2 linked regions of the Xenopus tropicalis genome follow. The protein of the gene in region 1 interacts with the protein of each later gene in a biochemical or structural test. Links are inferred from orthologs where the notes say so. Each region holds a gene or a part of one and is shown on either strand. Other genes may lie near its edges.

Evidence for each region. The genes of interacting proteins can lie anywhere in the genome.
Region 2: of the proteins of malt1 (region 1) and relb, one has a biochemical effect on the other in vitro, tested with the Homo sapiens proteins (2 studies listed by BioGRID). The link is inferred for Xenopus tropicalis from reciprocal best matches to the Homo sapiens genes MALT1 and RELB.

The regions. Positions count from the first base shown.
Region 1 is NC_030677.2:201,627,461-201,633,132, reverse strand, and holds part of malt1 (mucosa-associated lymphoid tissue lymphoma translocation protein 1), read left to right. Parts: intron 1-2,741; coding exon 2,742-2,908; intron 2,909-5,672. UniProt on the Homo sapiens protein: Protease that enhances BCL10-induced activation: acts via formation of CBM complexes that channel adaptive and innate immune signaling downstream of CARD domain-containing proteins (CARD9, CARD11 and CARD14) to activate NF-kappa-B and MAP kinase p38 pathways which stimulate expression of genes encoding pro-inflammatory cytokines and chemokines.
Region 2 is NC_030684.2:71,126,775-71,132,992, forward strand, and holds the start of relb (transcription factor RelB), read left to right. Parts: upstream 1-2,466; 5' UTR 2,467-2,747; coding exon 2,748-2,769; intron 2,770-3,511; coding exon 3,512-3,550; intron 3,551-6,218.

The sequences.
Region 1 (5,672 bases):
CTAATCTGAGTGCCAGTTTGGCACTTACTTTCTGAGTGGCACCTTGCCTCTGCAATCTGCCCCGGAATAATGGGGAAAAGGAAGGATTCAACAAGGAAATATTATTAAAAGATTTTGCCAAGCAGTAATATTTGAGTTATATGTGACTTATGTGAGTAATGTGTCTGATTCATATCCCTTATTTAAGAAAACTGAATTACAGATGCTTATTATGTAATATATAATAATATATAATAATATGTAATAATATAATATAAATTATTTGAAAGAGCTATAAATAACCTGCAAAATAAATCCTTATAGATGGTGTTTTTCATGCCTTTTTTTACCATAAGAGTGCATTTTCACTTATAATACAAAACTGGTACTTTGACTTTCATGTATTTTTGAGCCTTTAAATAGTCTCAGAACCTTTCATGGAATTCTAGTATCCTTATCATTTACAGTAGGGGGTACATTATCCCTTATAATACATGAGTGATACTCAGAGTTCCCTGTATAACTCAGCCTGCAGCCTTGTGCCTTTATATGGGGGGCACAGAACCCCTCAGTAACTGCTAATATCCTTATCATTTACAGTAGGGGGTACATTATTCCTTATAATACATGAGTGATACTCAGAGTTCCCTGTATAACTCAGCCTGCAGCCTTGTGCCTTTATATGGGCACAGAACCCCTCAGTGACTGCTAATATCCTTATCATTTACAGTAGGGGGTACATTATCCCTTATAATACATGAGTGATACTCAGAGTTCCCTGTATAACTCAGCCTGCAGCCTTGTGCCTTTATATGGGCACAGAACCCCTCAGTGAGTGCTAATATCCTTATCATTTACAGTAGGGGGTACATTATCCCTTATAATACATGAGTGATACTCAGAGTTCCCTGTATAACTCAGCCTGCAGCCTTGTGCCTTTATATGGGCACAGAACCCCTCAGTGACTGCTAATATCCTTATCATTTACAGTAGGGGGTACATTATCCCTTATAATACACAAATATTTTTAAATCCATATATTTTTACCTAGGGGTATATTATTCCCTATCTGTTCCTTACTGCAGAACCTACAGGCACAATATAGTATTATAAGCACAAAGGGATGTTTACTTTTAAGCTTGATGTCAGTTTATGGATTCGTAGGAAATGTACTTTGCATCCTAGAATTTTAAATGCAAATGTTATTAATGTGCAGAATAATAGTCAGACCTTTATATGTATCCTTGTTCCTTGTTAGAGTTTTAGAAAATTCCATTTTTAGCACATTGCCCTTTTGCATTGCGCACCCTTACGTTTATTTAAAGGGCTTCAGGGAAGGTTACAGAGACAGATCTTATATTGGAGTTTTGGTGAAGGAGGAAGAGGAGGGTAAGAAGGCTTGTGTAGTAATGACTATAAAGGTGGAAGCTGGAATTCATTGCCTAGGGAATTACACAGTAACATGTGGGAGGCCGTCTACTCACTATTACCTTACTGCTGGAGAAGGAAGACTTGTACAAATACATTTTGTATATAATTCTGTTTACAAAATGTGGGCAGAAATTGCATTTAGTGCTCATTTACTGATGCAAGTGCAGTGTACCAAGTAGGGTTGCCATCTTGCCAACTCAGCCAGTAAAATACCAGCAAAGGGTGGGGCTATTATTAAAAAATTACTGCCAATATATACTGGGTATATATAATTTGTAATTCAATTGGGCCCTTGCCGCCTTACATTCGCCCCCAGCCCGCCCCTTTCTTCCCTCCACACTAACCTAATCCAACTAATCTGGTTTGGTCCCCTTGATGATTAGACTCCACCCCTGTGACATCATGGCCCCACCCATTTATGTCACTATCTATATCTTTATGGACCCATCACCGCGCAGCCGGTAGAGTTTATAGAAAAAGGTGACAACCCTAGTACCAAGCAAAAAAACAACAAGAAAAAAAAAACAAAAAAATCATAAATTGCTAATTTTTGGGCCACAGTGAATCACAAGGCTTACACAGCTGTGTTATGGCCAGTATGTGGGAATGCATGCTGTTATATTTATATTTTTAGTTGCTTATTGGGGGGGGGGGGGGTAATGCAATGAGCAACATCACCTGTGATGTTTTACTCCACTTTTTACACAGCATGATAAATATACCCCTTGGTGTTTTATGAAGTTTTTTTAACTGCAATTCTTGGGTTTTCCTAAAACCTGCCCACTCTTTGGACAACATGAACATAGTGTTACTGAAACCATCTTTCCCTGCTGTCCTATCTTACTTTGATTTATCAGTTTTCCCTACCTTTTCTGCCAATAGCTGTTGCCCTAGGGCAGTTATCCCCAACCAGTGGCTCAGGGGCAACATGTTGCTCCCCAACCCCTTGGGTGTTGCTCTCAGTGCCCCCAAACCAGGGAGTTATTTTTTCCTGACTTGGGGGCAAGTTTTGGTTGAATAAAAACAAGATTTCCTACCAAATAAAGCCCCCTGTAAGCTGATAGGGTGCATAGAGGCCCCTAATAGCCAATCACAGCCCTTATTTGGCTCCTCCATGAACTTTTATGGTGCTTGTGTTGCTCCCCAAGTCTTTTTATATTTGACTGTGGCTCTCGAGTAAGAAAGGTTGGGGATCCCTGCCCTACAGAGATAGACTATGTACCAGGCCCAGGCCAGTCTATTTTTACGCACCCATTTAAAGGCAGTTCTGTGTGATAGTCCTTTATTTGCTACCCTGCTGATAGTAATGCAGACATATTCTTTCTTTCTAGTTCTCAAGAGCTGCACCAATGTTCCCTCAAAGTGATGCTGTCAGAAGGAAGCCCCTCACGCAGTTTGCTAAAATTAATGGGGGAACGAGGATGCACCACAAAGGATCTGACAGAGTTCCTACAGAGTATCGGCCAGTCAAATGCTATTCAGTTGCTGAAGCCCCCAGGTCAGACTTTGTTGCCTTGTTTAGCCTCTAAGCTATGATGGACATATCTGGTGTTCCTGTGGATAAACAGTCATGGAAACATTTGTCAGGGGTTTAGATTTGGCATATCAATGTCTCCCCCCCTACTCTGACCTCATTATTTATTGCCCTTAACTACAAATAAGCCTTTTATAGATGGGCTATCTGTAGTTCAGAGCAATAAATATTTAATAAGGTCAAAGATTTGGGACTTTGTGTGGAAATAATGACGGCTGGGAGGTATCGAAATATTATGTGATTTAAAATTTATAAAAACTCATTATTTTACAGGTATGTTACCCATTATCCAGAATGCTCTGGACCCACACTTTTCCTTATAAGGGATCTTTCTTTAATTTGGATCCCCATAACTTAAGTCTGCTAAAAATCATTTAAATATTGAATAAACCCAATAGGGCTGTTCTGCCCCCAATAAGGGGTAATTATATCTTAGTTGGGATCAAGTACAGGTATTGTTTTATTATTACAGAGAAAAGGGAATCATTTAACCATGAAATAAACCCAATAGGGCTGTTCTGCCCCCAATAAGGGGTAATTATATCTTAGTTGGGATCAAGTACAGGTACTGTTTTATTATTACAGAGAAAAGGGAATCATTTAACCATGAAATAAACCCAATAGGGCTGTTCTGCCCCAATAAGGGGTAATTATATCTTAGTTGGGATCAAGTACAGGTACTGTTTTATTATTACAGAGAAAAGGGAATCATTTAACCATTAAATAAACCCAATAGGGCTGTTCTGCCCCAATAAGGGGTAATTATATCTTAGTTGGGATCAAGTACAGGTACTGTTTTATTATTACAGAGAAAAAGGAAATCATTTTTAAAAATTAGAATTATGTGTTTATAATGGAGTCTATGGGAGATGGTCTTTCCGTAATTCGGAACTTTCTGGATAACAGGTTTCCGGATAAGGGATCCCATACCTGTATTATATATTGTAAATTTTTATTTTTGACTCAAGGGCAATATTTACCGATATATATATATTCCAGTTTGGGGAGATTATTTAATAGGCCACTTGATTTAATATAAACTATCTGTTGGTTAAGTATTCATTCTGGGGGGGGTATAGTTTTCTTTAGTATACACCCTAAGGATATTATTGTTTCTGTTCATTTTTGGGTGTGTGCATAGACAGATGATAACATGTATAACATGGAGATTTCCCCAGCCATAAGCATTTAAATGACTCAAGGAAACATATCAGTTTGTGCTGCCAAATTGTATTTAGCCACCAAACATGCAATGTTATATCTATAGGAATATGTTGTCAATAACTAGCATTTGCCTTGTCATGTTTATAGGGTTCTACAGGTTCCTCTCTATGGGTTCCTCCTGCTTGCATCAAGATCTAATGCAACATTACAAAGCCATTATTAATTGTTAAGACATATATAATTATTACTATAAGCAGTCATAACACTTTTTAAAGGGCACCTATTGCTCCCAGCAAATACTGTGGCTCAGTGTATGCCTAATTGCCTGTTCCAGTGCCTGTATTGCTGTGTAACCACCTTCTCTAGCGGTGCTGCTGCCAATACATTGGGAGAAACCACAAACACTTCTGTTAATTTACAATAGGGATCCATATGTGCCTTTTAGTGCCCAGTAGCAAGGCATTAATGGCAGCGGGCTTCATTGTGCACAACCGCCTGGAACTTATTGGGGCAGGCTGGGCGGCCATGTTGGCCCTTACCACAAGATGCCAAGGAGCATGTTTTGATGCAGGTTCCTTTGTGAATAGCATCAATGCGAGATTAATTCTTTGTGTGTTGCATATGTAACTGACTATTGAATAACCTAGTGGACGATCAGTTCCCTTGGGGTACTATTAGATATATTACAGACTTCTTTGGAAAACCATACCCCTAGCATGAATACAGGTACAGGACCCGTTATCCAGAATGCTTGGGACCAAGGGTATTCCGGATAAAGGGTCTTTCCGTAATTTGGATCTCTATACCTTAAGTCTGCTAAAAAATCAATAAAACATGAATTAACTTAACATGAATTTTATTATTACAGAGAAAAGGGAATCATTTAACCATTAAATAAACCCAATAGGACTGTTCTGCCCCCAATAAGGGGTAATTATATCTTAGTTGGGATCAAGTACAGGTACTGTTTTATTATTACAGAGAAAAGGTAATCATTTAACCATGAAATAAACCCAATAGGGCTGTTCTGCCCCAATAAGGGGTAATTATATCTTAGTTGGGATCAATTACAGGTACTGTTTTATTATTACAGAGAAAAGGGAATCATTTAACCATTAAATAAACCCAATAGGGCTGTTCTGCCCCCAATAAGGGGTAATTATATCTTAGTTGGGATCAAGTACAGGTACTGTTTTATTATTACAGAGAAAAGGGAATCATTTAACCATGAAATAAACCCAATAGTGCTGTTCTGCCCCCAATAAGGGGTAATTATATTTTAGTTGGGATCAATTACAAGGTTCTGTTTTATTACTACAGAGAAAAAGGAAATTAGTTTTAAAATTCTGAATTATTTGATTAAAATGGAGTCTATGGGAAACGGGCTTTCCGTAATTCGGAGCTTTCTGGAAAACGGGTATCCGCATAAGGGGTCTGATACCTGTACTTAACCAGCAGATAGTTTATATCGTATTAAGTGGCCTATTAAAGATTATTACCAAACTTTTGCATGTTTTCCCTTAAACCACCATTATGTGATGGGCTGTGTGCTCCCTCAGAGATC
Region 2 (6,218 bases), on another chromosome or scaffold:
GTACAGAAATGAAAGTAAAATCTGTCCCTTAGGCATAGAGGTGGGGAAGGCTATATGTTTTTGGCAGCTGAGATTTTGAAATGAGTTAATAATGAGTATGGGCAGCCACAGCTGCAAATAATGTTCCTCAATAATACAACACCTTTAATTTAGGGTTTCAGTCATGCTTTTGTGAGAAAGAATCTTACCTATTTGTCCATCAATGGTTAAACTTAGTCCAGTACAAGTAGGAAGTGGATGAGTGGTGGGTGAGCTTTTTTTAAGGGTTGATGCACAGTACTGATATTTACCATGTGCCTAACACAACAGAAAAGGGGTAGCTGTTTTTGTAGTCATTAGTGGGTGATTAGAAAGCACAATTTGATAACAGTAAAAATCAGCAAGCCATATAGCTTCAATGCTGCATTGTTGGTCAAAAACAATGAACTTTTGCCCAAAATGAGACTTTTGATCTTTTAGCACAGTGCTGTTTAACTTATCATATGTAGTTGGTCAATTATATGTCATACAGTATGTTGGAGGGCCAGATATAAAATATTGATGTCATATAGTGAAATTTATGGAGCCTTTGAGCAGTCTGGGGGGTCATAAAAATCTATGGAGGGCCAAATCTGGCCCGTGGGCCTTCAGTTGGACAGCCCTGTTTTAGGATATGGAGAATAGGATTTCATGCAACTGTGATAACAGTAATTTACCTTTTCCGGTCCTGTTAGATTTGCTATTCTCCATTAAGTCATAACAGGATTCTGGGAACAAATTCCTTTAGGCTCTTAGAAAAGTCCCATTTACATGGGCTTGTCCCATTTACATGGGTTTATCCTATAGACTAATGTTGACCCACTGGGTTTTCAATGCCAGGATAATAGCTGATCAGATTCCCAACTACAGACCAGTTTCACCCTTCTTGGGGCTCATTAGTGTAGTGCAGGGTTCTCTGATCAGCTTAGGTAAGCCAGGAGTGGGGATTCACAAACAAACTAAAAGGGTTGAGGAGACCGCCTCATACGTATGCAAATAATTCATAACAGGATTCTGGGAACAAATTCCTTTAGGCTCTTAGAAAAGTCCCATTTACATGGGTTTATCCTATAGACTAATACTGACCCACTGGGTTTCCAATGCAAAAGCCAGGATAATAGCTGATCAGATTCCCAACTACAGACCAGTTTCGCCCTTCTTGGGGCTCATCAGTGTAGTGCAGGGTTCTCTGATGAGCTTAGGTAGAGCCAAAGGAATTTGTTCCCAGAATCCTGTTATGACTTATTTGCACACGTATGAGGCGGTCTCCTCAACCCTTTTAGTCTATTCTCCATTAGTAATTCATTAGGGTAAATCATCTCCAATGAAAGGTTCCTTGACTAGCGCCACAAGTCAGAAACCAAGTTTAAACTTAAAGCCTAGCCTAGTTCCTAGGCAGGCAGAATGCAGTATGTTTTGTCCCACCAGTGTAGTAGAACACAGAACATCCCCACAGGAAAGCGCAGGAACTAACACTGGTGAGTACAAGCCCTTAGCTGGTCTAGTGCAGATTGCCAGGCAAGGATCTTGACTTGTAAAGAATAGCTGTGTGCTGAAGACCATGAGATACAGCCAAGGATTTTATCCTCTTTTAGCGCATGCACTCTTTACATGCCAACTGTGGGTTCTATAACCTTTCTTTGACCTGCCACTGGGCATTCAGATATATAGCTTGCTCGCTTGCATGCCAGGGCTGATGGTAGAGTCTCTCTTTCCTCAGCACCATACTTAGGTTAAGAATAGTTAACCTCAAAAATAACTCTTTGTATACTGTGGACATTGATATTTTGACACAAATTGCAGTTGGTCTTTTTTTTTTTATCAGCAGCTCTCCATTTTGTAATTACAGCTGTTATCTGGTGGCTAGGGCCCCATTTACCAAGTAACTTAGGGTTGGTTTAAATGACAGACTGCAAAATTAACTAAAGAGGAAATGAATTGAAAGATAAGTAATAAAAACACAAATAATTTTTTTTTTTAAATTGGTTGCATAAAATAAAAGTTTTTTTAACTGCTGGGTCTGTGACCCCTTGAAATATATATATATATAAGTTTTTAAAATTACAAGCTGGAAAGACGTACAATCCAGGCCAAAAATAAAAAAAAAAACAATAGATTAGCTTAGTCTATAAACTACACCCAAATAATTGTGGTTTTCTAATCTTTAGGATTAGTTCCCCGAACTCCTTGTGTTTATTCACAAATTCCACTGCCTCTCTCACAAAACTCACACAGTAACAGTGAGGACTAACGCTTTAGTGCGGGCTAGTGGCCTTTCCCTTAGTATACTTAGGTCTCTTGCCCACGCCATGGCGGTCCTAAGAATACATTTCTTAAGAAAACCTTCGAGTCCCCGCCCTGCTGCATCCACAACATCCACGCTGAAGCTCCGGCTATGAATCCCATTCACCGAACTCCTTGGCTACCAGGCTCCTGGCAGTGTCGTCACGCTAATGGGAAGTCACGTGTGATTACAGGCAGAGACAAGGGGATTTCCTTGGGCCCAGTCGACGTGACGTTATAGTAGACTTGCGACCAATCGGAAGAGCGGAACGGGGGAATTCCAGACTGGAAAGTGAGCTCCGGGAGAATTGCAGCCTGAGTAGTTGGGGTTCGTTCGTGGTTAGGGGGTGTGTATACTCGGTGCCAAGCCAGTCGGATGGTTAGGGTTCACATACAAATGTAGGATTTCTCAGGTTTTAATTACGGCTTTGAATACAGCAGACACAATGAGAGAAGAGGGGCGGGCAGGTAAGTGCGCGAATGTGCTCCCAAACTTCCACTTGCTCCATCCTAGGAATAAGCAGCTTTTTGTGCTCCAGATGATAGCAAACAACAACTGCCAGGCTAAAGTTGCATGCCCATGTGCCAGATGCCAAATAGTTGCCTGCCCATGTGCCAGATGCCAAATAGTTGCCTGTCCGTGCTCTACCCCATGCACAGTTACCAAAGTAATTGTTATTAATCTTCCTGACTATATGATAGGTCACAATTACAGCACGGTTGTTTCGGCTGTCTGCATATCCGCGGAGTTGTAGTTCAGCACTAGCAGTAGGGACACAGAATGGAAGCTCTACACATAATAAACAGCAGCTTCCTCCTAAGTGCAGGCAACTTCTGTAAACTGCCAGTGTAGAGAGTGTAGTTCCACAGCAGCCCTAAAATCTATATGTTCAGTATTAGCTTGTTTTAAGTTTCCCACCCTACCTCCATGGTGCAGTTAGGGGAATATCCATATAGCAGGATTTCCATGTTTTACTTCTGATAGTCACTAGAAAGAGTAGCTTGTGTAGCAGTGTCTATATAACATGTCTAATATAACATGTGTATATATATATATATATATTTTTTATTTTTTTTTTATTTTTTATTTTTTTATTATATTGACACATTAGGGTTGACCATGAAAGTGTTGCACGTCCCGCTATCTTTAGAGCCCTATTGTACAGATACACTTGTACATTTTTTGATTATACATACCTCTTTTTTTTAGAGACTTCTTTTTTGTCTCAGCAACTTGGGACAACAATTGGTGAGTAACCAGTGTCTTTGTGTATGTGGCAGAGATTGTGTGTGTGCCAGTTTCTATATAACTAGTGTTGGGTCATGGCACTAGTGCCAACATTCCCAAGTCTGATCTTGCCCGTTCCCACACCTTGTGTCTCATCCCCTTCTCCTTATAGATTGCAAGCTCTTTTGGGCAGGTTCCTCTTCACCAATTGTATTGGTTATCGGTTGCTTTGTATGTAATTCTGTATGGCCCATGTGTAAACCAATTTATTGTACAGTGCTGCAACTTTGTAAATACATAATATAATAATAATAATAATAACTATTTGTGGGTGATTGTTTATAAGTTTTAGTACTATTATGCTTGCTGCTAATAAAGTGGCATTAAATTGAACAAATTTGGACAGTCAGACAAGTAACTGTTGGCAATTATTTTGTAGAAAACAAGTGTTCTGTGGGAAATAATAATGCGGGTTCAACTGCATTGTGGAGTCAAGAACTTAAGAGACTGTCACAAATGCTGTTTGAGGCAGGGCTGATTGGAGGACAGAAGCATACAACCATAATATTTAATACTATTATGCTCCATTAGGTTCAAGCTTCACTTTGTGGACTTTACATTATAGCAACTTTACTTAAATTTGTATAAAACATTATTTTATCAGTCACCCTAATAAACAGTTTAACACAACCTCTTCAGAGAACAAACTAAAACAAGACAAGTTTTAATGCACAAATATAATACTAAATTTAAATCATAATGCTACAAATTGTAATGCTCAAATAAAAAAATAAAATATCTAAACATATCTAAACATTTTTTTTGTTCATGGTTTAGGCAATATTCCCCACTCTTCCTTGCAGAACACGTCTTTATTCAGTAGTATACATACAGTATAAGGGGTACAAATAGTATACTCCTTATATACTCCTTGCACTGTTTGTAAGATGTGGACCAAGAAAATATGAGTGATCATAAAACAAACACATTTCTTTTATTTGTTTTTCAAGTATCTCTTTATTGTGCATAAGGAAACACCCACACCACTTAGTTACAGAGAAACCTGTATTTCAGTTGCTTGTGGGGTTTTCTTTGCATTCAAAAAATCTTCATGGAAGATGTGTCTGACATTTTTCCTGGTCTACCTGACAGAAGCCTTAATCTTCTAATTCCTGAGCTTTGACATGTTCAAAGCTTTGTATATCTTTTTATCTCAGTTTATGAAATATTTTTAGCCATATATGTTTGTATAGTTTAGTTTTTCTTTAAGAATCTGCATAAAATACATCCACATTAAAAATAATAATTCATAATTCAATATTTGTCCCTTGGAATGTGGGTTTTGGCAGATAATGGTTGCACAATCCTATATTCTACAAAAAACAGATAAGCAGGTTTTACAGAATTCTCTGGCATTTTTAAAACCCTAAGTCTAATACATTCTGCATAAGCTGATTACAATGGTTTTATGGACCTTTTTCTCAGGCAGGTGTTAGCTGAAATATAGGCAAAATGTCATAGAACAGCATCTTATACCACCCCAATATTTTTCTTGTACTGATGACAATGTGTTTTCAAAATCAGGTAAAATGTGCATCTGGAACATCATCTGGATTCATTTAGTTAGCTTAGTTGCACCTTTAGCCCACTATGGTGGTTAACATTGGTAACATTTTAGTTCAATCCTTTAGGGTCAATAATATAAACACTGGTAAGTGTATGTATTTAGATTTAGATAACTGTACATGCTTTATATGTTTTATCTTATGAAAATAAAAATGGAAAATAAACAAACCTCCATATGGGCACACCTTGCTCTTTCCAACTTGCCCCCCATGTATTTGTTGAATTGACATATAACTTTGATTTAATTCTAATATGTTTTGTTTTAATTATTGTCTTTATTGAGTGTAAACAATTGTAATACAGCAGTAAGTATCACAATATATCAGCTTAGTCATTGTTGGACTGTGGACAGGATACCGGGAAAAAACCCAATGGCCCCCATCGACCCAGTGCCACTCCCATGGCTGCCATTGGTGAGCTTTTGGGTGTTAGGGGGTCTGTCCATGGTTACTTGATTAGCCGTTCTTCTGTGTCAGATTTCCAGCTCACAGAAAAATTCTACAGGGCACACGCATGAGTATGCTCAGTTTGCTCCTCTCCCTCTCCCCCTCTCATCAGCATTTGCTCCCCCTTCCCCACTCTGTGTAATCTGAGCTACCAGCAGCTAGATCTGCAGCATGGAAGCTAAAATGTCAGCTACTATTTTAAACAGAGGGAACTCCTAGGGCTGTTTACGCAGGTATGGTGAAGCTTTCTGCCAAAGGGTCGGACTGGGGGCTGGGCTGCCACCCAAAGGTGCCCCACACACACCCCAGGGGCCTCCACCGCATGCGCACGCCCCATCCCTCCCTCCGAGCATGCATAAGTAGATGCTATTGGGGGAGGGAGGCCAGCTGGGATCGGGTTTTGGCCAGCAGGGCCCAAGGGAGGTTAAAGCCCACCAGATTTTTGCCCGGTGTCCCGCCAGCCCAGTCCGTCTCTGCCAGTAAAATACCAAACTGTCTTTCCTTCCCCTTCAAAGAAAACATCAAGAATGTGCCAGTGCATTATACTCCTCTAAATATACAAAAAAACTACTTTTCTGAGTACATTCTTTAAGACATTTGAATGTGCTCAGAAAAGT